Drosophila melanogaster: one gene and its partners. Changing the gene in region 1 together with any one later gene gives a genetic interaction. Each region holds a gene or a part of one and is shown in the gene's direction. Other genes may lie near its edges. The genes, in order: mei-W68, mus301 and pds5.

Region 1 (9,928 bases):
TTATAATATTTACAATATTACACAAATATTATTACAAAATAAATAAATAATAAAAATAAAATAAATAATAAAAAATAATACGAAAAACAACTTACAGTGTGTTACCACCTTAACATTTCGCCACAGCTCTCCTCAAAGGCCAGAAAACATAGGATGCACACTGTAGAAACTATCGCATCGCCTAACTACTGCCATCGCTAGAAGTTCCGCTGTATTATTTTGTGGTTATTTTCTGCGCGCGCTAATGCCGACTTGCATGCCGGCGTTGCGTTTCGTTTGGAAAAAGTGGATCTCTAGCTGGCATTTGGATAGCTAAGTGACTCCGTGACCCACAGAGGCACCAGCTTGACTGCATAGATAAGCGTGACAGATTACCGAAATACTAAAGCGATGCTAACCCTACTAATTCGGCTGGCGGCGACGGCCATACCTGTTTGTGCTATTCTCTTTGTGGCCGGCACGTTTCTGTTCAAGGTTTATATTAGCATACGGTAAGTGATGCATTGAGTTATAATAGTCCAGACTAACTAACCTGCAATGTCTACAGATCCCGCTACGACGCCCGTGTCAACTGCTGGTTCTGCAATGGCAATGTACGAGTTCCGTACCAGGATCGCAACAGTTGGACCTGCCCGTCATGCGAGCAATACAATGGATTCACCAAGGACGGCGACTACAACCGGGATATTACGTCGCAGCGGGACTGCAGCCTTGGCTCCCAAAAGAACAGCTCCAAAGGCAGCTCCAGCATCTGTGCCAACTCATATTATTCCGATGTCCTGACTGCTCAACCTCCTGCTCCCAAAAACGGCCTGTGCGACCAGTGCAACGAGGCGCAGCGCCTGAAGGTCGAGAAGCTCTCTCAATTCGAGCCCAAGAACGAGTCCCGATTCGATCAGGAACTAAAGGTTTACAGGTGAGCTGTCATAACAATAAGCATTATATATACAATGTTATGGTATCTATGTTTACTAAGAATCAAGCAAAGTAATTTAGCTTGATGTGTTTTATAAATGAGTTAATCGTGTTTAAGTCAAGCAAATAAGATATACAACAAACATACAAATGTATGTCTGAATATGATCTAAATACCCGTATCTACATCGGTTTGCAAATCAAAGACAAGTTAACTAGATTAGATAGTTTCTATGAGTAAGCCGATTTATAATTTATATCTATTAATAGAGAACCTTTAATATAAAAGCTGGGGCACAAGTTATTAAATAATAATATTTATGTTTTCCGTAGAGAACGACTGGAGAAGCAGTTTCGCCTGTGTAGCAGCTGCGAACGACATGTGAATAAAGTCCTGCACGAGAAGAAGAAAATGGTGTTGAGCTCCAAGTTCTTGAACTATATCATCAAGGGAGCATCGTTGCTCAAGCAGCCGCACTTCAACCGATTGGCCGCTGCCCAAAAGCAGTTTAAACTGCAGCGATACCGCATTCTGATGACCATCCTGACTGTAGTCAATATTTTGTGCCTGCTCTGCCGGCTGCCGAATGCAACTTCCATTCAGTTTACGACTTACCTTGGAAAATTCATTGGGCTAACCTTGTTCTACGCCTACTCCCACGTGCTGGCCTTAATTCGAGTGGTGACTTCGAGCGTAGGCATTTTCCTGGAACAGCGCGAAATGATAGCCAAACTTTTATTGTATGGCCGTACCTTTGGCAAGCTCTTGCTGTATTCGCTTGGCATAGGCCAACAGCAAGTGCAGCAAGCAACCTTCGCATCCTGTTTTATTGGGATCTACCCATATGCCATGCTGGCCCTGTGTTTCCTGCACACGATATACGACGGATTGAAATTTACGCGATTCACCATTGCTCTATTGTTATGGAGTGGGTATGCCATGGGTATCGAATTCCTGGATCCTTACATCAGTGGAATATCCTTTATAGTAAGTGCATTTACTTATATTTGAATCTTATTTAACAAATTCTTTAAACAGCTGGTGGGAAGTTTTGTAACCCTTGTTTTGTTGGCCACCAACCGGACCAATCTGTTGAGCCAAGTGAATCGGGACGAGTCTGCCTGTGAGAGCTTCCATCGCCTCTGTGCGGACGAATGCGATGATGAAACGCTGAGCATGCTCAGTCAGCAGTTAAGTGGATACAGTGATATCAGCAATAGCAATTTGTCCATGCGAACCGCCTCTGTGTGCCACTCACCCGCCCCAACGATTTCCCAGCGAACAATTCAGGCGCCTGCTTCTTTGCTGTCCCTGGACTCGTTGCATCTGTCGAAGCAACGGATGGAACAGCAGGCTTGGTCCTCGAACTATGGAGATGCCTCTACAGTGGTTGCCCCGCGTGTCCAGCCGGCGATGATGTTTCAACAGAAACCCATGAGACCATTAGAGTCCCAATGGTATCGCCATGGACAAAGTAACCTGGCCCAAGGCAATACTTTCACTAGATCCACGCAAAATCTTTTGATGCCATCGCGTTTGCCGTCCATAAACAGGAACGTCGGCGGAGCTGATGTAAGCGCCTGGGTGGCGGCCAATCAAAGTGTGAACCAAGATCTATGCACTGCCAATCTAATGAGACATTACGAAGAGAAACAGCAGAATCAACTTTCCCGCACTTCGTCACAATCTTCTGGATTTGAGTCGCAGCCACGTCCAGAAGCCCAATGCGGAACAGGTGCTGCAACTGTAAGGGACTACGGCTGGTCCGAAGCCCGTGAGAGTCAGCGAAATTTCGCAGTTTTTCCGCCAATGCCGTCACCTACACCCACAATAACGCCTAGTGAATATCAATACTCGAGGACTGCTCTTCCGCAGCAACAGCCAACTATGCAGCCGGGGGATTTACTTAGGAAGTGGATTGAGATTAACTCAAAATCCTCACAGCCAATACACTAATGTGATGTGAGGTCATAAATATCTAGAAAAACTTAGAAAAAATTCTGGAAAAGATCACCGCCAGTTGGGAAATTATATAAATTTGACTTAACTTAATTATCAAATAATTTATTTTTGACTTACAGTTTTTAAGCTTCTTTATTCTACTAAAGGTTAGTCCTCCCTTTACTTATAATCGACTAAATAAGTAGTGTTTAGCTAGACATTCTTTAATCTGTGTAGCTCTAAGTTTCGTGGTTTTCAATATAGAACTTTTCAGGGAATTGAAAGTCAGGGAGTAAGATTAGAAGGTAATATAAATACTACTTGATTTTAAAGGGAGAATAAAGCTTTGGTAACTAAGTTATTTATTCATTGAAGACAATCATTCAAAGTTTGTTTTTATCGTTAACTAAACTTTTGTGACTCACATAAACTAGATAAATTGTTTATTATACAAATACATATTTTTTGAAATAAAAGCAAAACAAAAAAATGGTTATTATTTTGTTAAGTTAAGTGCAGTTATAAGAAAATATTCATTATCAAGTTAAATTCAATAATAACAGTGACCTGTCTTTTTGGTTGTTTTTCTCTTTTAAAAAATGTTATATTGTTCTCTTAGATTTCAGAACACGCTCTCTTAGTGCAGTGCTGCCAGTTGGTTAACGGCGCGGTGTAGAAATCAAAGTGGCCGTTTCCAAAGTCGGCACGGCACTTCAAAAATTCATACATTTGCCCCTGAAAGTATGTTGTTTATGTTGTTGTTAATATTGAACAAATATATTATGAATTTAAATTATCTTAATAAACAATTATGTATATAAGGTTGTGTAGCCTCTAACCATTCTCGAATGTAAAATTTAGCTGGTTATTTCAAATTACACATTAATCAATCAGTCTGTGGGCGCGGTTTTTAGATGACAGCTTGCTGTATATTTAGTATATAAGTAGTAACAGGAGAAAAAGTTTAGTATTTTTGAATACCGTCCAGCTGGCAACACTGCTACAATATGGCTGCCGTATCGTAATGTGAATTTTTTTGAGAGACCGAGACGTACATACTTTTGTTGCTGCCAAAGTGGATGTGGACGGAGGAAAATAGTAATATTTAACTGCGTTGCGGGAGCGGGACAATCGTCGTTTGCCAATTGCGGCCACCGCTTATGTCGGCTAATCGGCTATCAATAATATTAGTAATCGTATCAATATCAAGTTACCCATTACCCATCGCGGATACACATTAGTTTTGCGAAGGGCAGAGCAGCGCAGAGCATATAGCGAATATTTCCATTTGTTGCCAACAAGACTGTCGTTGTTGTTGTTATTATTGTGGCTTTTCAGTGACTGGGGAGAGCAGTGGGGGTGCGTTCGTAATCCTTGTGAAAAATCGGTGACCGTTCTTCTTAAAAAAAAAGCGAAAGAAAAAACCATCGCGATAAGAAAATATAAGAAAGAAAAATCTGATTGAAAACCAAAGAGCTGCTGCTACTGCTGCTGTGCGAGTGAGAGCGGTCGAGAGGTAGCTAGTGAGCGAGTGAGAAAGCTATGTATTGCATTTGCATTTCGTTGTGTGTGTCGTCGTTTTCGTTCGGTAAAAGTCGGTAAAAAGCAGAGCCTTTCCAAACCTAACCACTTTCGGGTAAACGGAATCGGAAAAGGAACTGGGAAAATCGAAAGAAATTAAATAATAATATGCGTTACATCGATGGCAACAACAACAACAACAGCAGCGACCATCAGCTAGCGACTCCTCTCTGAGCGAGAGAGCTAATAGCTTTTCAGCTTTAGCTTTTCTTGGGCCAATCGGAAATTGTATTTCATTGGTAAGTACAAGAAGTGGCAGCACCATAACCAGCAAATCAATACTTGGGCTGCCATTCCGTTTCGTTCCGTTCGTCAGTTTTCCTAGCCCATTCGTTGGCGCTCTCTCTTTTCCGTCAGTCTCTCTCTTTCTCTTCCCCAAAAGAGAGCGAAAACCCCCCGCCCGCCCACACTCGGTGTATGTGTGCTTTGTAATAACGAGTACACTTTTCTGCACATACGAAAAAGAAGGAAAAAAGAATAATAAAATAAGAAGAAAAAATGAAAGACCGAATAAAGAAATTCACATAAACTTATGGCACTCTCCCTCGCGCTCTCTTCATTTGCAACTAGTGTGCGTGCTTAAATTTTTAAAAAACAGTTGTTTTCACCGAAAGGGAATTTTCATTTCGATGGTATATTTTTAGCCAGCAAGCTCCTTTCGGAAATTATTTATAACCCCCCTCGAAATGTTTCCACGCAACGATTTACGCGATAAACTTTTACAAAATCAGATATAAGTAAGTGCAAAGACCACTTGATTTTCGTATAGTATGTAAGTCCACGAATTGCTTACGTATTTATGAAATATTACTGTGCGTAGGTCGGTGGGCGTGTTTCAACGTTTTAGCCCACAGTTTTCACTCATTTTCCTGCGGGGTTTCCGCTTGTGACAAAGGCATTCAAAGAACCAACAAGAAAATCCCGGGGGCGTGGCACCACCCATGCAATTAAATTAGACCAAAAAAGTGCTTACACTTTGTATTCTAGAGAATGTTTCAAATCATTGAACATAAACAGAAGAATTCATGCGAATTTAGAACTAATGGAAATTGGGAGCAAGGATACATAAAGTTGGAGGAATTCAAAAATGTAATTGTTTAAAATTTAAGCGTTAGTAACCAAGTTCTTGTTAAAATATATGCCGCTTAATTAAGTTTAAATCTGTTATTCACAAGTAAAATTATATTTATTATTAATTTCTCTTAATTTGGATATTAAAAAACCTCATTTTGTAGATTGCAAGAGTACGAAATCAAGAAGACGTACATATTTGTTGTTAAGAATCCGTTCCTAATATAAGTAAATTGCTAGAACAATGGATGAATTTTCGGAGAATATAGAAAGAATTGCCCTCGAGTTGCTGAGCAACTTGGTTCATGGCAATGCCACTCTTAGTGTTCCCCGAAATTCATCCGGAAACGTGATCTCGGAATATCGACGAGTCAGCTATAATAATCGCGGAAGTCGCCATAGCTTTTGCGTGCTGATTTACATGCTCTCCCGGGTGCACCGATTGCAAGTCCGCGGAGGAAGTTTCACCGTCCGTGGACTATACTATGACAATCCTCTGCTAGTCCGGTCGCAGTCCAGGATTGCCGAAGCCAGGCTAGATGTCTGTCGTATGCTGAGGACATCCCCCCTAAGCTTGGGCATACTGGCCGCCTCCAAGGGCCTGGTGGCAGGTGAGTTTATCTCGAAATCCTGATCAAAGGCTCCCTGCTCATCCGGTTACTCTTGCAGGCGACTTAAGGCTGCTGATGACCAACGGAGACGTTCTGGACAGCAGCTTGTATGGTGGACCTCTGACATTGCCCACGGATCCCGAGAAGATAGATCGAATCGAAACGCTGGCGGAATTTGTGCTAATCGTTGAAAAGGAGTCGGTTTTTGAGAGTCTCTTATCCAGAAATGTATTTGGTACTTTTGAACGACGCTTCATCCTTATAACTGGAAAAGGATACCCCGATTGCTGTACCCGGAGGATTGTCCATCGGCTCACCGAGGAGAACCAACTGGCGGCCTACATTCTCGTTGACGCCGATCCATTTGGCGTCGAGATAATGCTAGTCTATCGCCATGGCTCGAAGTCCATGAGTTTTTCCAGCCAAGGACTAACCACACCTGCGCTGCGTTGGATTGGTCTACACCCCTCGGAGATTCCCGCACTCGGCACTGGAGCGGTTGCCCTGGTTGCCGGCGACAACAAGAAAATCAATGACCTCCTCGCCCGCCACGATTTGGAGCCGGGAGTGCGGCAGGAACTGCGCATGCTGCAGGACGTTCAGCTGAAGGCCGAAATCGAGAGTGTCATCGACTTCCTGACCGACGACTATATACCAAATAAAATCAATCGGAACTTGTTTTTGTAGAGTTCAGTGGTAAACCCCATAAGCCAAATATTATTACTCTTGAAATATTATTAGTTAGTTTAAAATATGTTGTAGGTATAGTAATATAGTAATTAGTTTGTAAAAAACGTATCTCTATAAAGATACCATAAGACTCCTAAAAATAGTACTGTAAAAGTTAGTTCGCGTAATCAGCTTTCCATTAATATTTGAATTAATTAAGATAGTAATTTAATAATTAAATTCCCCATTCATTGGGATTCCGATTTTGTTGCTTATGTTATAAAATGTAATGTTTAATTTCAATGCAGCTTTAATAACGTCAATATAATATTACGACTAATTAATATTAAAGTACCTTAAGATCCTTGCCTTTAGAAAACATAATTTTAATATTTGGATAACGGATAATAGTAATTTACACTCGTAATGTCTGAGTAATCTGCTTCTAGTGTTTCGTATTGAGTGGTCAACTTGATTTTCTGCATTACTTTGTGTGGACGAAGCCAGTAAACTCAAGCAGACAAAGGAGATTATTTTTTTTATTGTGCCTCTAAAGTGTTATGGCTTGAGGTCGGTAATCGGAGCCGGTAATTGGCTACGTTTTTGATAATGGCAAGTGAATGGCCAGTCATATTATAGGTGCCGAAAGATACAAGTAGTCTGCTTTGTTTAGATCCATACTAATTGCGTGCATTTATTTCTTGCAGATGTGAAGGAGTACCACGGATGATAGAAACCCATTGGGCATTTGACTACTTTTAAGCACCGAAACCTGAAAGACTCCCGAAAATACTCGAATCTCACGTGCAGAATCTCTAAGAATCCCTATTGGACTGTTTAAAAATATGTCGACAGCAATGCGCACCACACTGCAGTCAGTTCCTGAGGCCCTGCCAGCGGATAGCGTGTCCAATGGCACAGCATCCAATGTAGCAGCACCGGCGGCGCCAGTATCGAGCGCAACAAACGCGGTGCCACCACTGGCCGCCGTCTCCAGCACAACCGCCACCTACGCCACCAACTCGATCAGCACATCCTCGCATTCGGTCAAGGATCAGCAGCAGCAACAGCAGCAGCAGCAGCATGATTCGGCCAATGCAAACATTGTGTCACTGCCACCAACGACAACGCCAGTCGCCAACACTAACACAATGATGCCCATTGTAACGTCCTCGAATTCGGCCACCAGCAATAGCACTGCGGCCACGCCCACGCCGGCCTCGGGGGCGGCAGCGACAGGTGGAGTGGGATCTGTTTCCCAGGGTCCAGCGACCGTTTCGGCGTCAGCGGCCAACACCAATCACTCGCACCAGCACAGCCACCAACACCACCACCATGTGGCCAACAACATGACCACCGACGGTGCCCGCTTGTCCAGCAACAATTCGGCGGTGGTGGCGAGCTCAGCGATTAACCACCACCATCACCACACCCCCGGCAGTGGAGTGGCGCCCACCGTCAACAAGAACGTGCTTAGCACCCACTCGGCTCATCCCTCCGCGATCAAGCAACGAACCTCGTCCGCCAAGGTGAGTCCTTCTTTGGGTTTCGTCAGTGTCCGTACCTATCACCCGTCCCCACGTCCCCTAGTCCGTTTTTTTGGGGGCCTTGTTCATCAACCCATCTCTTGTTTGCTCCTGCAATGTGGCTTGGGTCATCAGTTTTCTTGTGGTCCATTTATAGAGGGTATCAAGGGAAGGTAGCCTGTCGAAGGTGAAGTGAAGACTCTTAAAGTTTCAATCAGCTTGTTGAATAAGAAATACCATACTGCTGGATATAACTGATTCGAATCTAAGCTTCGCCTTCGTGTGTGTCAAATGTGTCGTACGAAAAGTAACGCTGTGTTTTGTCAGGTGGGGGAAATTTATATATAAATGCATTTTAAAAACGTATTTTAAAAATCATATCATATATCAGAATTATAAATCTGTCTGCTTATACAGTAACGTTTAGTTTTCTGAATTTTATCTAGAATAACTGATGTCTCATATTATGAGTAATCGAAACCTCGTATACATCTCATTGTTTTTCTTACATATATGTATCATCATCACTGTGAACACAGTTAAATAAAATCTATATCGTTGTGTACCGTGCTACAGTTTTAAATCGACAAGTTCAGTGAACTCCTTTAACACGACAAATGGGTTGGTATCCAAGAATATTCTATATCTGGGACCTATTTAATGAGTTGGACATATAAAAATATAACTGTCACCTTATTTACCTTTTTACGAAAACTTTGGGTGGTACTGTTACCGTTTATTTTGGGTACTTGATAATTGGTAGTTTAAATGATATACGTACATACTAAATGAGTGGACTTTGCTTCATTCGAAAAACTAAAAGTCTGAGTCAATACAGCTGACGACGTCCATTCAGAAGTGCAATTATAGTATTTAAACAATTCTCAATAATCACATCACGTCGGTCGTTCTATCTCCTCTCTGTTTCTCTGCCTTTATCTTTGTTGTCCACAACAAATCCGTGTGATTCGTACTCCTCTCCGCACAATCATATAACTGTTTTGATTTTAAATAATTTTTTGCCTTAGTTTGTGTGTTTGTATCCGACATGCATACACTTGAATAGTTTACGTGGTGTAGGTAAATAAGCTTAACTAGTTGCCTTTGTGGACGTTAGGTGTGGAATCGTGAGTGACTAACTTATAACGTCTTTTCTTTGGCTAGTTATATCCTCTTTAATTCCTTCTTCTTAGTGTGATGAAGATCAAGATGATCATATACTTATCCGAAGTTTTACAAAAGTTGTTGGGTTTCTATCTTGTTTTAACTTCAATTTTATTGTTTTTATAACACTAAAAATATTACAAAAATTACATTTTTAAGGTTATCTTAAAAAATGATTTGTTTTACGCATGGAATATTCATTTTTGACAGATTCTTTTCAAATCTTTAAAGATTTCGATTCCTTAAGAAGCTACATACTGGAATCTTTACTTCTCTATCTTGGAATTTCCAGTGGAAGTCTTTTTAAATTATGCTGAGTTGATGTTTATGTGGGCTTTAAGCTCGGCTCGCAGACAGGTTCCCAAACTGGGGATCCCTTTGCCAAAGCTCTTCCGAGTTCTCTCTCCTTCTCTTTAAAGTTTTTCAATGTTTTTCGAGAAATATGTGTG
Region 2 (10,765 bases), on another chromosome or scaffold:
CATCTACGCTGCCATGCTTTAGCCATTGGTTAGCCCACTTTAGGATACTCCGAGAGTGCTGGCGTATGTCGTTCACTGGTTTATTTTCCCTTCGAATCCATTCGCGGCGTTCGCGGTAGGAGCTGAGGCGGAGCTTTATGCACTCCTTGCGGCCCTGAACCTTAGAACTGGCTCCCTTAACCCTTTCGATACAGTGTACTTTCACATCATCGTTGAAATGCACCTTACGCAGTTTCTTTTGTAGCTTCTTTGAGTCTTCGGCTTTTTGATGGTAAAGCTCCATTTCAGCAAAGGTAACTTTGTTACAAGTGCGCTGATTCCTCGCCAGCTCCGCTTCTTTCCGTTCTACTGGACGCGAGCACTGTGGCTGCGGATGCAGAACAGCTTTATCAGCTGCTTGGAGCTGCTGTGAGAACGTTTCGATAGCGGGTGGTTGTTTGGGAACTGGTTTCTTTGGTGGTGGCTTAGCGTTATCCGTCTTTGCCAGTTTTGGGGCTGGGCCATCCACTCCTTTCGTTAAAAATCCGCCACGATTGGTGTTTTGAACGGTGGGAACACTTGTAGGATTCTTTCTCTTATTGGTTGTTGAACGATGACTATTTTCCTTTGGTTTTTCAGACAGCTTCTTGAGGGCTTCGCGGCGGCACTCTTTTAGCTTTTCGTCTTCTTTTTTCTTGTCTTTGGGTTTCTGCTTCCATTTAGCGTTCATTTCGGCTTGATAGTCAATAAAACGCTGGCGATCTAGCACCTTATCTTTAACTTTCACCTCAGCCGAGACCCCTCGAAGCTTACCTCGATTTTTGGGCAAGGATGGAGCCTCAATCACAGAGGGGCCGCGTGTCTGTCTCACATCAACAAAGTTTAGAACGTTGTCTGTAGTGTCGCTTTTAGTTGGAGATATATCCTTAATCACCTTCTTGGCAGGATCTTCGGTTTCCGAGATCACCAGACGATCCATATAGCACGATTTTGATCGGTTGAGCAGCCGCGCATTCCTTTTAAGAGGACTTTTAGTTGGAATAGGGATTTCTTCGTTGGTCTGTTTTGCTGGTGAAATCTTTTTATTTTCCTCAGCCTCAGCTGTCAAGGATCTTATTTCATCACGGCTGTGTATTGTCTTTCGTCTGCCGCGAGTCTGCGTTGCTTTTTTTTTAACACATTGGGTTTTAGATTTAGTAGGTGTCGTTAACATTGCTGGAGCCTCCAGGGTTACTATCAGTTCTTCCTTACTATTATCAACACTTTCATATTTCTTCTTAAGGGGCACTTCATTTTTGGTTATGTGTTCATCCAATTCCACAGGCCTATCTATATAACAGGATTTTGAACGGCTGCGCAACATTTTTTTAGGAGGTTCCACATTATTTTTAGGAGCATCTTTGATTTCTTTTGAAGTGGTAGATAACTCATCCCGAGAAGTGGTCGATACGAATCGCTTACGGGTTGAGGTTTTGTTAGTCTCAATCTTTTGCGGACAGATATTAGTTGGTTCATTTCGGGATGCAACTATTTGCTCGCGCTGACGGTTTGAGCAACTTTTGGTTTCCGTCATATTTTCCATGTTATCTACTGATGTCTTGGTCGGGCTCTTTAAGCACGACTTAAGCTTAGAGTTTAATTTTGTCTGTTTATTTTCATATACAGAATCAATAGATGAGACGGATAATTTACGAACAGCTGGAAGATCCGGAGTCGTGCTGTCGGCTGTTTCAAAGATAAAACAATATAAATATTGTTACTAGTCATATTAATAATAGCTAATTTATTTGTATACTTACCCTGCCGCACAACATGGTCGTTTGGAGATTTCGATTTGGAGCGCCTTCCCTTTTGTTTTGTTTGATGGACAATCACTTCGTCTGCAGAGTCTTCGTCACTGGAGGATGAGATCCGCAGTGTCCTTTTCGGTTTTTTTGCTCCAATATCTAAGTCTGAGTCTGAATCTTTGTGTTCATTCTCTAGCGGATAGGTCTGCGACATTTCTATGACGTCTGGTACCACCTTTTGGCTTAGCAGCTTTGACCAATCCGCCACCTTATCGTACAGCTCATCGTCATCGGAATCGCTGACGTAGACGATGTCGTCGTAAGCTTGGTTCGATGGAGAACCTTCAGGCAAGTTTCCCATGCCATTGGTCAGCAAGAAGTCTTCTTCGCCATCACTTACGTGCATTTCGGCCTTCATTTCCCTGATCACTGCCTGAGACATGGCGAAACTCTCATCGTATTCTTCCTCGTCGTCTACTTCCCGCTCTGCCGAAGGGTCTTCGGCTTTCTGCGCCTCCGAAATGCTCCTCCTATCCGTATCCGTGTCCAGTTCTATACAGTCGCCGTCGTGTATTTTTTTGCGGGTTATTTCATTGTTCGCGGTCTTGTTAGTTAGCTTGTTGTACAGATATGGATTTAGTTCCAATACAGAATTCAGAATAGCGTCACTTGGTTCACCAAAAATGTTTTGTATCTCTTCGGAGGTATGCTTTACGATTTCCTGCTTAACTTCTGTTAGTTTTGGTAGATGCAAATTGGAACTCGAAGGTAGTACTTCCTCTTCCTGGCCGGGGTCCTGTTTGCCGCCAAAGTTTGGTATTTGCTGTTTCAGATTGAACTCGGTGGGCTGAGTGCCAGTGGGGCATCGCACGGCGGGCAGTGGTGTTGTATCGTCATCGTCGGACGACAGAACGATTTCCTCGACTACCGGCTCCTTTTTCTTTAGGATGAATATAGCATGTATGCCAGTTATTTCATTTAGGTTGACTCCCGTGACTCCTAGGCTGATTGTGGAGCCCTCAGCTACTGCCAGACGGTTGATCTTGTCGCCCAATTTGCCCCCGTTGATGAAGAGCCCATTCAGGGGGTTCTGTGATAAAAGCATAAACTATTAAAAGCATGTACATCTTAGGTGAGCTGCAATAACCTACCAGAGACTCAACCTCAACGCCCTTTTCGCTCACGATGATATTGGCGTGCTCCCGGGACACAAATTGGTACTGTCCACCCAAGATTATCCTGCAACGCGAGTGGCGACCCATCAAATTAGTGCCGTTGTGCAGGATGAGCCGTGCGCCAGTGGTCACATGTTCCAGGTACCACACGCTGCTCATCCTGACCAACTGTTACGTTACACTCGTACTCAACTGAAGGAAATTGTGAAAACTGCTAACTTTGAGTGAAAATTGAACATTGAATGTGCGCGACGCTTCATGCACTTACTATAACAACAAATCTGCCAAGTGGTAGTGAATTACTGCATTGATTGTTGGATTTCTCTATGCAAATACAAAATTCCCGTAATAAGAAACATAAGTATTTCAATCTACTTTTTAAAACGCGAAGGTGTTCTGGTATTCAAAACCCGTATTAATTACGTTTTTTAAACTAGCAACAAGACGCACTTTTTGGTCAGCGGTAAACAGTAAATGGCAGTGCTGTTAAACGAATTAGGGGAGTGCAACGTTAAAGTACATTTAAGCCGGTTGTAATTATTTTGTTAGCGTAGCTCTTAAAATTTTGCCAGATTTTGCCTATTTAATAGGAAACACGAAAAGAAGAAAATCGTATACCGTAAATGTTATATTTATAAATAAAAGGAACGATCGTTAGGGAATACGACTTTATCAACACTTAAGTTGAGACACGATCCCGGTTATAAACTTGGCTTACATGCTGCAGCCCTGGCCTGAGTTTTCCTTCATTTTCACGCGAAGTTCACACTATTTCGCGCCAAATGGCAAATAAGCATAATTTGTGCAAAAAAAGAAGTTTGGATTTGAGCGAGGAATCAACAAGCGAAAGCCATGCCAAGCGTCAGTGCACCGAAAACCTCTTTTGGCCGGAGGGCGAAGACGACGACAGCTTCTTTTCCAACGCGCATCTGGAGGATTTGCTGGACGGACGAAAGGAGGAGCTCTTTGGCACGCAAGCAACCACAAGTACCAACAAGATGACGCAAAGTGGGTCGGATGATGGACTGGGACTCTTTGCGGACACATCCTTTCCAAGTGCACAGAGTGTTCCACCCAACAGTGCCTCTAAACCGGATGAAGCCAGTGCACCAACTGATAAACATCAAATCGACCTGGCGGACGAGGAAAACGCCGACAAGCTGTTTAAGAAAATCAACCTCAACGATCTGAGCATTGCCGAAATGGAGGATATTTTCCATGGCGCCGATGATTTTAGTGATCCCATGGTTCAAAACACACAACTCTTCTTGGACGCAATGACCTTTAAGAAGCCCAAAACACCAGAGAAGCTACTGGCCCCCCTTAAAGACGATTCCATGTCTTTCATTTCCAAATCTGTGATTGAGGGCCTAGTGCAGGGCACTCAGTATGTGACCTGCGAAGAGCTGAAGAACCAATCCCTCCTAGATCCAGTCAATTGGGAGACTCAGGCTTTTGCGGACTTCGAGAAGAATAACCAAGATATAGACAAGTTTCCCAGCAAGGGCGAATTCTATGGCCTGCCGGATAAGGTCAAAAAGATGATTCTGGAACACAAAGGCATTAATAGTCTTTATGGTATGACTGCTAATTGAAAACCAATATAAGCTTAGTTTACGATCCCATTAATTCCGCAGAATGGCAGGACGAGTGCCTAAATCTACCTGCCATCAGGCAGCGCAAAAATCTGATCTACGCTCTGCCCACAAGTGGTGGAAAAACTCTAGTAGCCGAAATCCTTATGCTGCGTGAATTACTTTGCCGCGAACGCAATGTGCTGTTCATCCTGCCATATGTGTCGATTGTCCAGGAGAAGGTGAGCGCCATGTCTCCATTTGCAATCGACCTGGATTTCATTGTGGAGGAATACACGGCCGGCAAGGGCAAGTGTCCGCCTCAGCCGCGTCGCAAAAGACGTAGTCTCTTCATTGCCTCCATCGAAAAGGGAGCTGTTCTAATGGACAGCCTGATAGACGTACAACGTCCTCATGAGATAGGTCTGGTGGTGGTGGATGAACTGCATTTGATAGGCGAAAAGGGTAGAGGGGCCACCTTGGAGGCTTTCCTTACCAAAGTGATGTTTCTAAATGGTAAGTGGATATTTTGTGGTACTTTTTGTACAGATTAATGGAATTTTTGTTTTCTAGCCAATATTCAAATTGTTGGCATGAGTGCCACAATAGGAAATCTCAGCGAAATATCCTCTTTTTTGAATGCTGATGTATACACCAGGGGCTTTCGCCCAGTTGAGCTAAAGGAGTACATCAAATGTGGCCCCGATTTGTTGGAAATAAATTCGGCTGGTCAAACGCTGGAGGAGATATTCGTCCCCAGTCGCAGTGTAGAGTACAATGTAAGGAATATTCGAATTAGACGTTTGGAAAATGTTGCCGAAAGTAAAAGATTTTGATCTAATTTTTATTTGCAGTACAGTGAAGCCGTCAAACGCGCCGATCCCGACCATCTGGCTGGTTTGATAAGCGAATGTGCTCCGGAACACTGCTGCTTGGTTTTCTGTCCTAGCCGCAAAAACTGTGAGAACGTGGCGCTACTTCTCAGTCGCATTGTGCCAAAGCATAAATTTTTTGAGCATCGGCGTAGCGAGAAGTTGGATCTAATGGATGCCCTGGACAAGATGTGCGGCATACTCAGCCCGGTGTTGGCGAAAACCCTACCCTACGGGATTGCCTATCATCATTCGGGCTTGACAACCGATGAGAGGAAGTACATTGAGACTGCGTATAGATTTGGAGTCGTCACAGTCATTTGTTGCACCTCCACTTTGGCTGCAGGGGTCAACCTACCAGCCAAGCGGGTAATCATACGTGCTCCTTATGTGGGTCAAGAATTTCTGACTTTGTGCAAGTATAAGCAAATGGTGGGACGAGCAGGTCGCGCCGGATTGGGTGAAGCTGGCGAGAGTATCCTGATAGCCCAGAGCAAAGACAATCTGCTGGTCGGACAAATGCTTTTCTCGCCTATGGATAAGGCTTTAAGTTCCTTGGATCAAAATGAGGCAGTTGGACTGCAAGTAAGTTTTTAATTAGCGAAAATTAGGTGAATTTTTTACGCAGATCTTGATGAGAAAGAAAATATTAATTTTGTTAAAACACTCATTTTGCATTTTATCGTTTGTTTAAACGTAAAAATTTCCGGAGTTTCTCTTATTTTATTTACTATTTTTTTACTTACACCGATGAATATTTCCTTAAATTGCAATTATTTTTTTAAAATCGCAGATTTTTATGTAGTTTCTTGCTGTCACTGACTTCCTAGGCGAAATCTGTTTAAAGACTGAAGAAGGGAAATGAAAAGTGTTACCTTTACATTTTTCTAAACAAAGTGACCGCGTCCTAACTACCAAATTTGGCCACATCCTACATTATTGCAAAATGTGCTTTTAATTTTGCTGATCCCTTCTATATAGATTTGTAATTTTTTTTTCAAATTGGCAGTAATGGGACAGAAGGCAGTTCTATCTCTTTTTATGCTTTTATTTGATTAATCCAAATTACGATATGCATAAACATAATATAATTTTTTTCCCTAGTCGCTTATTCTCAGCGTGGTTGGCTTGAATTTAGCAGAATGTCGTAGAGACTTGAATCGGCTGGTAAACAGCACACTGTTGTCTGTGCAGGCCAAATCCCTGGAGGTGGCCGTGAACGAGATCGTGCTCCGTATTCTCCGAGAGATGTTCAAAAATAAAGTGCTGCAGCTTGCCGAACCGCAGGCGAAATCTAAGATCAATTCTTCGGATATTATAACATCGCAGGATGTTAGTCAGGCAAATAGGCCCGCTGGCGATCGACGTTTGCTCATTGGACAGTCGACGCCATTTAAGCTGACCAATATTGGAAGAGCTGCCTTCAAGGCGGGCATCGACTACAAGCGTGCAAATGCCATTCACAAGGAGCTCAAGCAGGCCCAGCAGCAGCTCATTCTGACCAACTACTTGCACCTACTGTACCTTGTCGTGTGCTTTAACTCGAACGAAAGAGGAGACGAGTTGTTTCCGGCAGATGCCAGCATTCTGTTTGGAGTTTACACCTCGCTTCCACTGGACTCGCAGGCAATGTTCAAACAACTTGGATTTACAGAGGCCCATGCAGCTAGGCTATTTAAGACGCAGTCGGTGCAAGGTCCATTGTCCCTGCAGCTGAATCGCCTCTACAAGGTGCTTATTCTGGCGGATATACTTAACCTCCTACCGATTCCCTCCGTGGCCAGCAAGTACAACGTGGAGCGGGGAACTCTGCAGCATCTGATCAGTCAATCCACAGCAGCGGCGAGTGCCATTGTTCGCCTGTGCGAGGAGCTGGAAGAGTTTTGGTGCTATAAACCATTGTTTGAGCGGATCTTGCACAAAATGGATCGATGCGGCACATTTGAGCTGGAGCCGCTAATGGAACTGCCAGCGGTTAAGATCGTGAGTGGCAAAATAATCTTGTCCTTAACAGAAAAGTAGATATGACTATTCCAAATTGCATTACTCTTCTAGAATCGTGCCAGGCAGTTGTATGCTGCGGGTTTTCAAACCATTGGGGATATAGCCAGAGTGAGGCCGTCGCACTTAGTCCAATCCTTAGAGCACATGCCGCTTAGAGTGGCCACGGAAATTGTCTCGGCAGCAAAGGTACACGTTGTTCTTTTGATTCTGTAACCCATTTAATAAGCTTATATTGGATTCCTTCTAGATAATTTTAATGAAAAAGCTCGACCACCTGGAAGAGGAAACGGAGAACCTGAAGGACTGTTTAAAAACGTCTGATAAAAATTAGCAGGACGTAAACACAAGTAAAAACAGCAGCTTAAGTGGGTTTTAAATTTATTTCAGTTTTTGTTTTGATTGTTATGCACTCCGATTTAAGTCTTGCATCTGGGTTCTCTACAACGAACACGATCTCCGACGAAGCTTAAATATTATAGACAATTTGTATGCAAATTGCAGTTTTAAATTAACACATTAGGTATTTTTCATTCTATATGTAAATCAAGGACATCAATGCATATTTTCCTTATTGTTCTGTTCTGCTGGATATTTTATGTTATGCTTCTCGATTAATTGGACATAATCAAGTAGGAGGGAGTTATTTTTATAAACTACTAGATACGAGCTAGCAGACAAATTCGCAAGCTGCTACTATCACGACATTTGAGTATTATACAACGTATATATAAGTAGGGGGGTTCTGGACATATATAGCTCATACAGCAAAAATAGCATAATCGATCGAAGGTAAATTTTGAAAAGAGCTTTCTGCAGAATGTACCCAAAAAATTCTCAGATAAATGATTGCTGTAGGTTATCATCGGTTATGTTGTTTTTCGGCGGCTATTGCTTCATATGTCCCGAGCCATTTCGAATTACGAGTACGTTTTGTGCGGCTAAACGACTAAAGTAGACACAGATTTGTTTAAGAAGTTGGAGCCGTGCACCAAATTGGAACTCTCCTTGTGTTGGGGAAACTTATTTACAGCTGAAGAAACTGAAAACCAAAGATATGACACCATTTTACTACATATGCTATGCTATGTTATCAAACTAAAAACGCACCTTATTACAAGCGAACTTTTCAGTAGGCAAAGTCATCGTAGAAATGCTGGGCAATCCGTCCGCCCAGCGGCTGGTGGCTCCGGCTCACTCCCGACCCGGAGACGGCTCCTCCGCTGGAAGGTCCGCCGGCTGCTCCTCCGGCAGCAGCGTATTCGAGTCGATGTGGACGCGCGGTTTGCGCCGGGACAATAGCCCGCCTGCGTATATCTGTCGACGAGAAATAGGAATCACTATGATAGCTCGCTGCTTGCGATGCGGATGCAGGGGCGGATGCTGAAGCGGATGTTGGTGATTGATACGCTGGCTGATAGGCAAATGGATTATAGGCGCTAGCATATTGCCGCTGCGATTGCTGCTGCTGCTGCTGGTATGGAAGCTGATGCGAATGAGGATGCGGATGCTGGGGCGAGAGCGGTTTCAGCGTGGGATCGAGCGCATCGTTCAATGTCACATCGTAGTCGTTCTCGTAGAGCTCGTCGAGATTCAGTTTTGGTCGCTGCGGTTCCACACGCTTAGGCGTGGCGGGCAGAGCACTGCGAGGCGGGAGTGTCGTTCTGGGTGGACTGGGCGATGGAGGAGCGTCCTCCTCGTCATCTTCACCGCTATCAGGATTACCCCTCAACAGAGGAGCCCCATGCTCGAGCAGACGCACTCCCGAAATGGTGGAACCCATGTCGATGGGCGTGCTATCGGTGGTTGGCAATGGTTTTAAGGCCACACCCACCGGCTGAAGGCCACGGGGCAGATATGGACTGCCGCCCCTGGATGGTAGGAAAGGTCTCTTGACCACACGTACCGAGGAAGGACGTTGGGAAAAACCAGCGCCAGCGTTTCGCCCGCTCAATGAATTTGCCCGCGATCTGGGTGCAGGTGCTTCGTCCTCGACGGCTTCCACTGGATGCTCCAGCTCCTCTTCGTCCTCTACGATTGGTTTGCGTGGACGTGGTGGCGCTGTGGGCTTCCGGGTAGTTGTCTTGGCTCTCAGTCTCTGGTTTCTCAAGGGAGCTGCTGTGGAAACGGGCGCTGGACTCTCCTCGTACTCCTCATCCTCGAAGTCCACATCTGCTGCTGGGACACGGGACCTGGGGGCCAAGGGACGCTTGCGCTTTCTCAGAGGTTCCGGCTCCGCCGGCTCATCGTACTCCTCATCGACGGGCTTCTTGTCTGTTACTGGTTTGCGCAAAGTGGTTCTGGTGGGCTTCTGCTCAGCCCGAGATGCTGGCGTACGTCTGCGAGGAGTGTTTCTAGCTGGAGGCTGTTCGTAGTCCTCCTCCACCTGCTCTTCAGGATAGTCCTCCTCCTCTTGGGCACTGTTGGATGGTGCCTGTGTGGTGGCCGTGATCTTTTGCACTGGATAGGAGAATTTCTTCTTCTCATTGATGGGAACAGGTCGCGCAATCCTTGGCGGAGCTCGAGGACGAGCATAAACGGAAGCGGCTGCCGCCTTCGGAGTGATAAATTCTGTCAATGGCTTTGGAGTAGTCTTCACTTTTTGAGGCGTTTGCTCCTCGGCGGCCTCCACCTGATCTGCACTGTTATAGGGCTTTTCATATTCATCTAGGTCGTCCAGTGCGGATGATGGAGTTGTCCTCTCCTTTTCACTTCGCCTCCTGCCCAATGGACGATCTTCGTTGAAGCTGCGTCGTTCCTCCACTCGTCCTGGTTTCCGGGGAGATATCTTTCGACCCGCCGTTCCTGCAGTGGGTTTTCCTCTTGGTCTTTTACTTGGTCGCTCGTCGTAGTCCTCATCCAGTGCCTCCTCCTCATCGCGGTAACGATTCCTATTGCGCCGGATGGGTTTCTTGGCCTCCGTTCGCTTGTCATCGTACTCATCATCGTACTCCGGCTCCACTTGGGGCTTCCTTTGACGTGGTCTTGGCTTTGGCCGTCTCACGGGTCGCTCCTCGTAGTAATCATCCTCGTACTGATCCTGATCCTCGTAGTAGTAGTCATCGATGGGTCTGCGATTGTAGGGTCGTCTCAGCGGACGCTGTGGTCTCTGAGGGCGACGACGAGGTGCAGGTGGCAGAGTGGGTGGCGCTGGCGTAGTTGTGGTACTCGTCGACGTGGTAGTGGTGGCCATATAGAGTTCGTCGTTTCTGCAGAAAGGTGGAAATGGTTAGCATTAAATATTACTATTACTATTCAAATTATTCATATAAGCTTGTAAAGATGCTATTAAGAGATTCCCATTTCAGATTACTTTAAATTAATTTAGTCATTAAATACAATAATTTAACACTTTATTTGTTTATATTCATTTATTT
Region 3 (11,902 bases), 7.4 Mb from region 1:
GGGTAAATAAATATTCTGGATTCATGCCAGTGTCCTGAGAAAATGATATGTGGATCCAAGTCGCTGATGATGGCTCTCAACAGGGGTCCTCCGCCAATGAGCAGCGGGGCATGGGATACGCCAATTCTTAGACGATCCGCATTGTTATCCCTATCCGGGTTGCTAAAGTCCAATAGCATGCGGTTTATCTTGAAGAAGCGTAATCGATTGTCATAGTCAAAGAGGTCTTCACTCATGAATTCGTTCTCAAAGCGTCTTTGGTTCGAGTTGGATATGTAGTCGCCATTCTCGCCGCCAATATCATTGTCACCCGGCACATGGACGCGCTGAAAAAAGGCAGAGATCATGCGGAACTGTTAGGTTTTAAGGGGTCAATCCCATTCGCAAAGTTGTATAATCGCTTTGGAAAAACTTTAAATTGAAATAATTATAGGTGCAACAACAATTTAAGGTGAAGCAAAAGCAGTACTCCTTACTTTTTTGTAGTTCTTATTCTGATAAATTCGTCTGAACCGCTGAACGTACTGCTTGTACTCTTGAGCCGTGGCAATGTTGCCTTCGTCCAACAGATCGCCCAGGAACACTATGATGTGAGGCTGTGTAAAGGCAAGAGCTCGCTCGAAAGTCTTCGCCAGGTATCTATCCGAATCGTACCTGGCTAAAGGACTGTGCGAAGATCGATCGTAGGAGTTTCCCAGTATCTGGGGATCAGCAATAAGCAGCAGGCGCGTGCAATTATCTATGTGGGAAAAATAGCTTGTTATGATGCGACTCAAAAACTGTGTTACGGCTTACCTAGTTTGCAATCGATTGGCTGCCAACTGGACTGGGCCATGTAGTAAACTATAAACTCGTTGAAGAAGACCAGCAGCAACGTAAGAGCCACAAAACCGCGGCACACTAATCTGTTTCTTTCGGGGATTATGGAAGGATTAAATAGTTTCGGTTAACAAAAGTAACGTCAACTATGACCCACCTATTGACGACGCGCAAGGAAGCCATAATCCCGGCTATGCCGCATCGGTTTGGATTGCTTGATTAATACTTTCGGTTGTCCTCTGGCAAATGCAACTGGCTTACATTGCGTCTCTATATGTACAATCTATATTTAAATACGCACTGCCCATGCAATATTTACGTAAGAATGCTCATATTTTCGGGAATGTAGAGCTGCTGCAACGGACGGCGCACATCTGACCACAACCGGCCCGCATCATCGCTTTCAGGGCGCACACGCTTAATTGGATTAGAAAGCAAAACATCTAGAACGGCCGGAACGTTGTGTTGCGTCCATTACCACATTCCTCCGATGTTTCGCCAATGCGCGCCATTGGCTTTTGAACGCGGGCAATTCCGTTACAGCGTTTGCCGGCTCCAGGTGCCAATAATTGTGCAATTATCTTTATCCTATGTTTGCACTTCTTGCGCCGCGACGGCTATGTGGCAACGCTACAGCTGTTTGCCAAGCACAACAAACAAAATTAGAGGTGAGCGCGTGATTAGCACTAACTGAATGCTCAAAGCAAAACAAACATGATACTCAAATGTTGTTCTTAAGTAAATTTATAAATACAGTTTAATAAGTTATTTATATCCCGATTTCATTCCGATTATATATCCGATTTCGTGACACGACCCCTTCCGCTCTCCTCGCTAGCACCAACAACACGTCAATGCTAATCAGCTGAAATGCAATCATGTACTAATCTGCGAAGAGTCTGGCCACACTTCCAAAAAACCTCTGGCAACGCTTCGTGCGTGGATTAATGGCGTGCCACTCCACATAAATGCTCCTTGGTTTTTGCTTATTTTTAACAACATAAGCACCGCAAAAGACTCTTGTAACCGAACATGTGTAAATAGCTGGACAGGATCAATCCCATCCATAGTGCAGTGATTCGAAGGAGACGCGCGCTAAGCGGTCATCGAAAGCAGGGGTTCGCAAAATTGCAAAAAAATTGTGCCGCTTCCTGCCCGTTGTGAAAAGTAAGATTCCGAGTTCCAAAAACTGCGCCGCAGTTTAATATAAAACATTGGGTAAATTGCAGTGGCAAGGGCGCTACAATTTGGGCGCTCTCTATTTGTTGTTTGCGAAAAAGAAATAACCAAACAATATTGGCCACTCTGTGTGCTTGTGGTGCTGCTGCCCATGTGTGTGTGTGCTTGTGTGGAGCTTCGTGCTTGTGTGTTCGTGATGCCACCCTCCTCCACTTTTTCAATGTTATTTTGAGGGTCGCATTCGTTGTTGTTGCTGTCGCACGGAATTGTTGCACCTGCCACTGAATCCTTGAAATCCTGGCTTGCAGGTAGCTCCCATTGGCGGTGAGGATGGCGGACATAGTGTACCCCACCGGATGCCGGCCGCTGGTCGAGGATTTGGGCACAGACGAGCTGATAAGGCGCCTCAAGGTGAGTCCTGCCCCTGGTTCCCTTAGCAAAACTTCTCACTTAGAATGATTCTGTTTTACAGACCCTCGCCAATGTTCTGCAGACCATGGACCAGGACGACAATCTCTACCAGCAATACATACCATTGGCCCTCCATCTGCTGGACGACTTCTTTATGCAACATCCATCCCGTGATGTCCAGCTCTTAATCGCGTGCTGCGTGGCGGATGTCCTGCGGGTTTATGCGCCAGAGGCTCCCTACAAAGAGCAAGATCAAATCAAAACTATATTTAAGTTTTTTATCAAGCAACTGCACGGTCTGAAGGATCCGCGCGATCCCTCTTTCAAGCGTTACTTCTATCTGCTGGAGAACCTTGCTTTTGTCAAGTCTTTTAATATGTGTTTCGAACTGGAGGACTGCCAAGAAATCTTCCAAGACCTGTTTAGTACCATCTTCAAGATTGTCAAGTAAGTCGAGCTCTTCCTTTATCCTGCGAACTCTTTATAATCACATGTTATATAATTTTCTAGTGACCAGCACAGTGTCAAGGTGACTAACTTTTTTCTAGATGTGCTAAGCCCGTTGATCACAGAAGCCGACAATCTGTCGGTGGAATTGTTGGATCTCATTCTGATTAACATCGTAGAGCCGTACAAATCTAACAACAAGTTTGCCTGCCAATTAACAGAACAACTTCTCACTAAAACGGGCGATGCTCTCGAGTCCACCATCAAAATGGTAATATTTCGTTGATCTTTGGTGCACCACGTTATTCAACCTAATCCCTGATCTACAGTTCTTTAACCGTGCTCTGGTCATGGATAAGCCAAACACAAAACTGTCCATTACAAACAAAATCTATGATATCATTTACGAGCTTAACCGCATCAATGCAGGCTTGTTGTGTTCAGTGCTACCTCAGCTGGAGAACAAACTGCTGTCCACGGACGATGCTGAGAGGCTAAGTGAGTAATTTATCAGCATGTACCTCTATTTGCATATTAATAAACATATTTTCGTTACTACAGAGGCAACCACTCTCTTGTCTCGTATGTTCTCCGAAAAGGACTCGCAACTAGCGAAAAAGTACCCCAACCTGTTGAAAATCTTCTTTGGGCGCTTCTGCGACATCACCGAACCAGTTCGCATCAAGTGTGTTCAGTCATCCATGCACTTCCTGCTCAATCACCCAAGTCTTCAGCACGATATCACCGAGAAATTGCGGCTTCGAAATCACGATCTTGACGAAGTGGTCCGCCACGAGGTGGTAATGGCTATTGTGGAAACTGCCAAGCGCGACTTCACCCTCGTTCTCGAAGCGCCCGATCTACTAGAAATTGTGCGCGAGCGGACGCTAGATAAGAAGTACAAAATTCGCAGGGATGCGATGAATGGTCTGGCCTACATCTACAAGCGCGCAATTTGCGAACCCAACGATCTAAGCACTGGCCTTAAGGTCAGGGTTGACTGGATTAAGAACAAGATACTACATGGATACTACAAAGTGGGCTTGGAGGACCGCCTGCTTGTGGAACGCCTACTTATCACCTGCCTGGTTCCCTATAAACTAGCTCCGGAAGAGCGCATGAAGAAGCTATATCATTTGCTAGGCGATCTCGATGCCAATGCCACCAAGGCTTTCGTCGAGCTGCAGAAGAACCAAATGAAGACACGCAATACGGTCAGTGATTGGATCAAGCTACACCACTCTAAGGAGTTCACGCCGCGCGTACTTAGTCAGCTCAGCGCCAAGCAGGCCAACATTGCCAAGTGGGTTCTATAATAAGTTTTCTTTTGATAGTTTGTAACCAGTGATGTGTTTTTTTTTCTTCAGACTGCTTCCAGATCCCCTAAAAGCGGCAGAGTACCTAACCCAGTTTAGCAACAACCTGCGAAAAGATGCTCAGCTCCTACGATGCATTAACATTGTCCTTAAACGCGACGTAAGCTGTCGGGAGTGTGCTGACACGATGGGAGTTCTCCTGAAAAAGCTTGGCGCCCACGTCCAATCGAATCTGTATTACAACACAGTTAAGATGCTGATTGAGCGCGTGGCATCAGTGATGGTGGACAAGGAGTCTATTGGCGTACTTATTAGGTAAATTGCTTTTAAGTGCCCTTTTGCCAGACTTAATCCGGTAATCTTTTTGCTCAGCCTAATTGAACAATGCATCGAGAAAGGGTCCATGTGTGAAGAGATCGGAATTTCGGCTCAGGAAGCGGGCGAGCGCGGACTCAAGTTGTTGGCCGTGAGTATAGAGATAATTTAAGTTATGATACAGAAATCCATTTGATTGCTTTATACTTGCAGATGCTTTCATACGTCTTTTCGGCTCATTTCTTCACCGATACTTCGCTGCGTCATTTAATTTCCCTGCTCAGTTACGAGCAGGATTATGTTGCACCACTGGTGCTAAAGACACTAACTCATCTGGGGCGCTATCAGCCACTCATTGACGACCCTACACCGGCTATTCTCGACGAGCTGGCTCCGGTGTGCAAGGACTTCGCACTTATTGGAACCCCCAAGCAAGCAAAGCACGCGGTGCGATGTATTTTCGTAAACAGCCAGTCGTCGGCTTCCACTGATGGAGCAACAAGTGGAGCTGGAAGTGCGTCCACAACTACACAAACAGTGCATCCTATTTTCAACGAGATCATCGAGACGCTTCGCCTAAAACTGACACCAAACTGTGAGCATCAGCGCACAAAGATTGTGACCTTGGGTCACATTGCCTACAATATGCCACAGGCCTTCCTAACGCCCATTAAGAATATGATTGCGCGACGAATTGTCAAAGAGCTGCTTATCCAAGAAGTTCCTGCGCAGCGAGACTACGAACTGCCAGAGGACAGTGATTGGTGTGCCCAAGAGAAACTACCGCCGGACACTCTATGTAAGCTGGATGCGCTCAAGGCTATGGCCAGGTGGCTTTTGGGATTGCGTACCGATGAGCACGCTGCCCAGAAAACATTCCGAATGCTGGCGGCGTTTGTTAACCAACGAGGCGATTTGCTCGGCCAGAACCGTCTTTGCGGTGCCGAGAAATCTTGGCTGCGCCTCGGGGCAGCCTGCGCCATGCTCAAAGTGTGCGAACAAAAGGGCGTAGGTGATCAGTACAGCGCTGAGCAGTATTTGCAGCTTTCCCAGCTGATGGTGAGTAGAGACATTCATCTTGTGCTTAGAACTTAGTCTCAATGTCTATCTCGGTGTTCCCGTAGGCTGATCCGGTGCCAGAAGTTCGGGAAATCTTTGCTCGCAAGCTGCACAAAGGATTAAGCAGAAGTTTGCCCAGGAACTGTTTGCCGCTGGACTTCATGGGCTTGTATGTGCTGGCTGGTCTAGAGACTGAGAGGAAGTGAGTAGTTCAAGAAACCATCCGATCCGTTCGGAGAAGTATTGATAAATATTTTCAACAGATTGCAAGACCTTGTGCGTCACTATGCAGAAACGGATGTAAACAAACGGCGGGAATATCTCAAGACTGTGGCTATGACATGTAGGTGTTTTACTTTTGGAATCATATTGTGTATTTTAACCATTAAATCAAATTATTCCAGCTCCCGACAGCTCAACGGAGTCACAATCATTACACATACTACCTGACTACATGCTGGCTTTCGCTATTCCCGTGCTGGTCCACGATCCACGCTTCACGAATCACGAGGACTACGTACAGCTGCGCAAGATGGAGAAGTGCCTGCGTTTCATTCTGGAGCCGCTGATGGCCAAACGAGAAACGTTTGTCCATAGCTTCTACAAGCAGCTGCTGCAGCTGATAAAGCATCGCGAGTTCAGTCTGGGGTCGGACAAGCGCGACAACTATGTATGTCACTCAATCATTTTCCCAGGCTTTCCCTTCTAAATTATATTTATACATATATTTTTCGGTTATCAGAAAATGTGGGCGCTCTGCGATCTTGCCATGTACATTATCGACTCCAAGTTCAGTCCATTTGATGGCAACACGAGCACCTTTTCCATGCCGCTGGCTTTGCCAGAAATGTATTATAAAGAGCCTGCCGTTGCGAATTTCCAAAACAATGACGTCTATATACCGCTGGACGTGTATACGCTGGGAGCCAAATCCACGAGCAAAGCTGCCGCAACAGCAATGACAACGTCGCGAGCAGCAGTGGCTCCAAAGAGACCGGCGGAACAGTCAATCATGGATGATGAAAATCCGCAGGTGAGTGAGGTCCTTGGAAAATACTGAGAATGAATCTAACTAGTGTGTGAAATTTGATTTCAGGAGAACAATCTGTTCGACAACATACGAGCGGCTGACACTACGGAGCCCATGGCCAAACGAACGCGCGCAGGAGCCGCTTCAGCCAAATCATAGGGGCTGGGATGGCGCAGATTGGAGGTGGAGAGAGCGCATACTTGTTAGTTTAGTTATGTTTAGTCTAGGCGCCTAAGTTAACTAAATATTTAAGACGTAGGAAAGACCACGATAGTTGTTAAACCGACACTACCTTTATCCACACCATGCAACTCACAACTAAGCACCCAGAATTCGGATTGTTCAGTTTCGCATTCAGTATGTACTATATCAATTTTGTGAGATACACCAAAAACACAAACATCAAAAAAAGAAAAACGAAAAAAGTGTCGAAAAATCTGTTAACCGCAACTCTGTAAAAGTAATTATTTATCATTTAAAATGTTTTATCCTGTTCTTTTATAGTGTTTGATTTATTGATTGATTTTACCATTATTCTTAGACTATTGTATATCGAATAAAAAAAGGAAAGTATATCGCGCATAAGTTAAAGTACGAAGTAAAGTAATGAAAACGTAAACAGAGCCTTATTAAGTAATTAAAATTAACTTTTCTATGATCGCAGTTAATTTTTAGTTAATGTAACATCATCATAATACATACAATTGTCTCGTTAAATTCAACAAGTATGCATTCAAAATGCATTCAAAAAGAAAACCTAAAAGCGTAAGAATTGGAAAGAAAACTACAAAGATAAAAATAAAATGAATACACACATTAAACTATAAAACATGTACATTAAACAATTATTATGGTTTTTAAATTACAAATAAACGTATGATTATTATTTAAATGTTAAAATGGATATCGAAAATGGGCTTTTAGTTTAAATTATTAAAATGTTGTACTTTTTTAATATAAAGTAAGTTTAAAAAATGGCTAAAATATAATTTTTGTTTCTAACTTTTTTCTTTTCAATTTCAAAGTCGCTCTTAGGAGGGCTAAAACTAATTTGAATATTGATAACAAATGAACTATCGATAAGAGGCCGTCGATAGTTCACGGTGCAACATCAACTCTCCCATCACTAGTTCCAATTGCATTTTCTGCGTTGTTTTTTTTCGGGGGTGTGACGTTTTTCTTGTTGTTTTTGTGCTATTGTGAAATAAACCAAACAATTGTCGAGTTAAATAGACACTGATTGTTGTTTTGCCGCGCAGTTCGAACAACGAAAACTAATTCCAAACAAAGCTTACGCCGGCAAAACCACGAAATGCAGGTGGAACCAGCCGAAGTCGGCTGTGACGTCACGCATCGCCAGCAGGAGAAAAACAAAACCAATGGGATTTTCTCAACGGCAGTCAGAAGTAAAAAAAACGGGCAACCGAACGGACGGATCTACACCTCCACGCCGAAGACCTCGCATCCGAAACTTGAGCACTACGTAGGTGTTGCTAAACCCTCGGAAAAGGGGCGAGTGGGAGTGGTGACCGCCCTCGATCCGCTGATCAAAAAGGTGGCCCTTCTCTTTGGGACTCTTATCATTGGCTACAAAAGCGTCATCTTAACGAGTAAGTGTGCCAAGCTGGGGGCTAAACGTAAATATATTGTGGGTTTATTGGATTTCCATTTGTTTATTTCTGTATATCCCCGGTGTGGCGGGGGTGGGAATTCAAGGTTGCAATTGTCGGTTGCGTCGTCTTTACTCGCACTTTGTTTATATTCTCGCGTTTATAAATAGTTGAAGTTCGTGTGATCTCATAGCGGTGGTGTTTGTTCCCCCTGCATAAGCCGCCGAATAGCGAAAAAACGTCTATATAAGGAAGGCAAATTGTTTGATGCGCATTAGCCGTCTCATTTGCATACAAACGTACTGAAGACCTTAGAAAAATCGTCAAAGAGTGATTAGTTGCTTCATCTTTGAGGCAAAATGCCATTAGTTAGTTAATTGTTTGCCCAGCGGCTATTAGTTATTCATCTACGCTTAGCTTAACGGTATTTAGCACTGGGCTTTCGTCACGCGACACATACATGTATATTCTAATGTATGTAATATAAACATTAGAAGGTACCGCTAGAAGGCCCAGGAAAATAACGAATTTTACATTTCTGACGATATAGCAATCTTTATTTGCTGCAGGTTTTGCATTAGGGTGGCTCCAAAAAAAGTGCGACAAAAAATTTAATAAAGTTTAACAAAGCTCAAAGAAAAAACACATGTTTAATCAACTATTTGTTAAATAATTCAAACATATAAATTTGATATAAGCAGAAAACAAATTTTATACATTGTCGAGAAAAGAAATAATTAAACCAATACAAACGAATATTTATTTCCAATCTTTCCCATCGGTCCAAATCTATAAAAAGCGCAACCTTGCTATTTATGGTGTAACGAATGGGGTTTCTGTACATTTTTGCAAATTTCTTTGCCCACTAATTCTTTCCATTTAGCCAAATTGCTTTGATTCCCTCATAGCGTACATATCTGACTAATAAATTTGAACCACCCTAGTTATAAACCCAACATTTTGACGTGTTTATCACGCTAGGACTGATAACAGTGAAATCAATAGAACGACACTCAAAATGAGATACTAACGAGCTTTGGGCGTTCTCTTTGCAGTGCCATACATCACGGGCGATTCCATCCAGGTGCTGAGCCACCAGGTGCAGAGTAGGTGGAACGAGACCTTGGTGTGGGCCACCAGGCACCAGCTGGGCTCCAGGCTGAGTCCCCTGCTGTGTGGCCTTCTAGTGGCAGCTTTCGCGTACGGAATCGTGTACTTGGACAGCGCGGTGCCCGGCGTAAATCCCCCCTCGCCCTTTACGCCGCGTTCCAAGAAACGGTAAGCTCTGGGGAAATCACCTTTAATTATTCATTATAACATGGAGTCTTTACTTCAATTTGCAGTTTCCGCGAGGAGAAGACTGCCTCGATGCACTTGGGCTACTTGTGCGCCCTGTTCTGCGGATTTCTGGTCACGGTCTTCATGTACTTCGACTTGTACTCGTAGAACTGAATACCCATTTCCTTCCAATTAGTTCAATAAGTTCACCAGTATTAGACTTTATACGCCCACTTCGGAATTTGTATTTGTTGTAGTCCTTGAAACTGTGCAATGCTCCTGGAGAGAATCGTCAGGGGGCATTTTGAAGCTAACTTATTTCCTAGGTATATTAATTATAAGTTACTAACTCTATAAATTATTCATGATTTGTAAACTACAAAAGTACAAAATGAAACATTTCACTGTTGATTGGAGGCCAGGATCGAAAAGCTTAGGCTAGCATATTTATACCTTGTGAAAAGTACACTATCGCCTGGCCTAAAAATCTCAAGAAAACTGTATCCTTAAAAAATAAATTACTTTTGCATAGTGTTTTGCAATAAAATATACGAGGTAACATTTTCAATGCGCAGAAATTGCTGTTGCCAGTCAATGTCGCTTACCTGGTCAATCTTAAATGTTTTCAAGCGATTTTCGCCAATAAACTGGCCCACGAGATGGACAAAGCAGCCTTTTAATGAATAAAACTTTGGTTATGTAATGGTTATCAGTTTCCTGCATTTTACCTGGGCTCCAAGTACTCATAACGCCTTCGAAATCGTAGTAAATTCCCTGAAGGACGGGCCCCGATTCTTTGTTTCGCACGAGCAAGGTGTGTTCTCCACGTTTTCCCACAATGATCCGTAGCAATTTTCCTGAAAAACGATAATTAATGATTTAACTTGCCAAATTTAGCGATATTAATCATTCTGTTTAAAATGTATATAGTAATTTGATTTTGAATGTATTTCAGTTCAGACCCACCGTAAACATTCCAAATAGCATTAATTTCCGGATACATTTTTTGAGTTTTAAGGCAGAAATCCACGCGACCAATTAAACTAATTAAGTTTCGTCCTGGCTTCAACATCGGGGAGCTTGGCAACTCCGCTGATTCCTTTTTGGCTGACATTTCGCAACTGGATTTTTCCAGAATAATCGGTGATGGAACGTTCTCCTTTTTGGGCTGAACTTTCACAGCTTCCTCCACGAATCCATCGTATATTAGCTTATTATCCTTACGACAGACAGTTAGTTTTGTTTGCCGCAATTGGGTGCTATTTTTGCGCAAAAGTTCAGCGGCCGTTGGAAAACTGCGATTCAATTGCGAGACGTTGTTGGTCAGTTGGCTCTTAAATTGAGCTTGGTTGTTACCCAGAGGGGTGCGCGGTTTAACTGAAACAATGTTAATTTTTTGTTAATTTATAAATAGTTCTCAGTATTTAATTGCGGAACTTAACCTTTAGCAAACATTCTTGCAGCCATCAAATTGTAACGGCTATATTCCAATCAGCCTGACCATTTTAATTTTGTCTAAGAATACTTTTACGATTCGTTAAGTGTTGGCTAACGTTGGGAATCGACCACATTACTGAACAAATCGATTGTATCGAATACATATCGATTGCACCTCCAACTGTCCACGCGAGAGTTTTATATATTTTATTTTTACATGCATATTTGTTGATAACTGGGGTTTTCTGTGAACCGCGTTTAACTCTCAGCCAGCCATGAGCACAATATTGGAGAAAATCTCGGCCATCGAGTCGGAGGTGAGTGGAACTTGGAGTACCTGCCGATCTTACAGAAACTAACCTGTCTCGCATCCATTTACCCCGCGGATTCCCCCCTGGATTCTATCTAAATCACCGGGTTGTTGGACCACCTTCTCAACTGAATCCTAGATGGCCCGAACCCAAAAGAACAAGGCCACCTCGGCCCATTTGGGTCTACTGAAGGCGAAGCTGGCTAAGCTGCGACGCGAACTGATTTCCCCCAAAGGAGGCGGCGGCGGAACCGGCGAAGGTAGGCTCTTGGATATATAATTCAGGCAATCACTAAACATTATGTATTTCCAGCTGGCTTCGAGGTGGCCAAGACTGGAGATGCCCGGGTGGGATTCGTAGGGTTTCCTTCTGTGGGTAAATCCACACTGCTCTCCAACTTGGCTGGCGTTTACTCCGAGGTGGCGGCATACGAATTCACAACGTTGACCACTGTGCCGGGATGCATTAAGTACAAGGGCGCTAAGATCCAGCTGCTGGACTTGCCCGGTATCATTGAGGGCGCTAAGGATGGCAAGGGTCGAGGTCGTCAGGTGATTGCTGTCGCTCGCACCTGTAACCTCATTTTCATGGTGCTGGATTGCCTGAAACCGCTTGGCCACAAGAAACTCCTCGAGCATGAATTGGAGGGCTTCGGCATCCGGCTTAACAAGAAACCACCAAATATCTACT

The links.
Region 2: of mei-W68 (region 1) and mus301, changing one suppresses a phenotype caused by changing the other (phenotypic suppression), as found in Drosophila melanogaster (one study listed by BioGRID).
Region 3: of mei-W68 (region 1) and pds5, changing one suppresses a phenotype caused by changing the other (phenotypic suppression), as found in Drosophila melanogaster (one study listed by BioGRID).

The regions. Positions count from the first base shown.
Region 1 is NT_033778.4:19,452,299-19,462,226, forward strand, and holds mei-W68 (meiotic W68), read left to right. Parts: upstream 1-3,871; 5' UTR 3,872-4,677; intron 4,678-5,673; 5' UTR 5,674-5,753; coding exon 5,754-6,120; intron 6,121-6,178; coding exon 6,179-6,807; 3' UTR 6,808-7,225; downstream 7,226-9,928. Other genes in the region: CG7744 (uncharacterized protein), read left to right, coding at 391-491, 548-916, 1,249-1,903, 1,955-2,872. UniProt on the Drosophila melanogaster protein: Required for meiotic recombination. Together with mei-P22, mediates DNA cleavage that forms the double-strand breaks (DSB) that initiate meiotic recombination.
Region 2 is NT_037436.4:8,134,114-8,144,878, forward strand, and holds mus301 (mutagen-sensitive 301), read left to right. Parts: upstream 1-3,694; 5' UTR 3,695-3,723; coding exon 3,724-4,519; intron 4,520-4,578; coding exon 4,579-5,031; intron 5,032-5,088; coding exon 5,089-5,294; intron 5,295-5,369; coding exon 5,370-5,972; intron 5,973-6,491; coding exon 6,492-7,370; intron 7,371-7,442; coding exon 7,443-7,577; intron 7,578-7,638; coding exon 7,639-7,722; 3' UTR 7,723-7,901; downstream 7,902-10,765. Other genes in the region: Setx (senataxin), read right to left, coding at 1-1,704, 1,779-2,856, 2,918-3,100; CG13676 (uncharacterized protein), read right to left, coding at 8,518-10,597. UniProt on the Drosophila melanogaster protein: Single-stranded 3'-5' DNA helicase that plays a key role in homology-driven double-strand break (DSB) repair.
Region 3 is NT_033778.4:12,026,247-12,038,148, forward strand, and holds pds5 (precocious dissociation of sisters 5), read left to right. Parts: upstream 1-1,738; 5' UTR 1,739-1,986; intron 1,987-2,048; exon of another isoform or gene 2,049-2,306; 5' UTR 2,307-2,328; coding exon 2,329-2,409; intron 2,410-2,470; coding exon 2,471-2,856; intron 2,857-2,919; coding exon 2,920-3,127; intron 3,128-3,185; coding exon 3,186-3,354; intron 3,355-3,417; coding exon 3,418-4,159; intron 4,160-4,223; coding exon 4,224-4,487; intron 4,488-4,544; coding exon 4,545-4,638; intron 4,639-4,700; coding exon 4,701-5,546; intron 5,547-5,611; coding exon 5,612-5,748; intron 5,749-5,809; coding exon 5,810-5,889; intron 5,890-5,950; coding exon 5,951-6,216; intron 6,217-6,288; coding exon 6,289-6,579; intron 6,580-6,642; coding exon 6,643-6,735; 3' UTR 6,736-7,479; downstream 7,480-11,902. Other genes in the region: Mppe (metallophosphoesterase), read right to left, coding at 1-353, 477-739, 796-911, 977-1,002; CG8321 (uncharacterized protein), read left to right, coding at 7,889-8,186, 9,242-9,464, 9,530-9,632; CG43191 (uncharacterized protein), read right to left, coding at 9,983-10,137, 10,193-10,321, 10,431-10,841, 10,907-10,919; 128up (upstream of RpIII128), read left to right, coding at 11,177-11,218, 11,351-11,471, 11,525-11,902.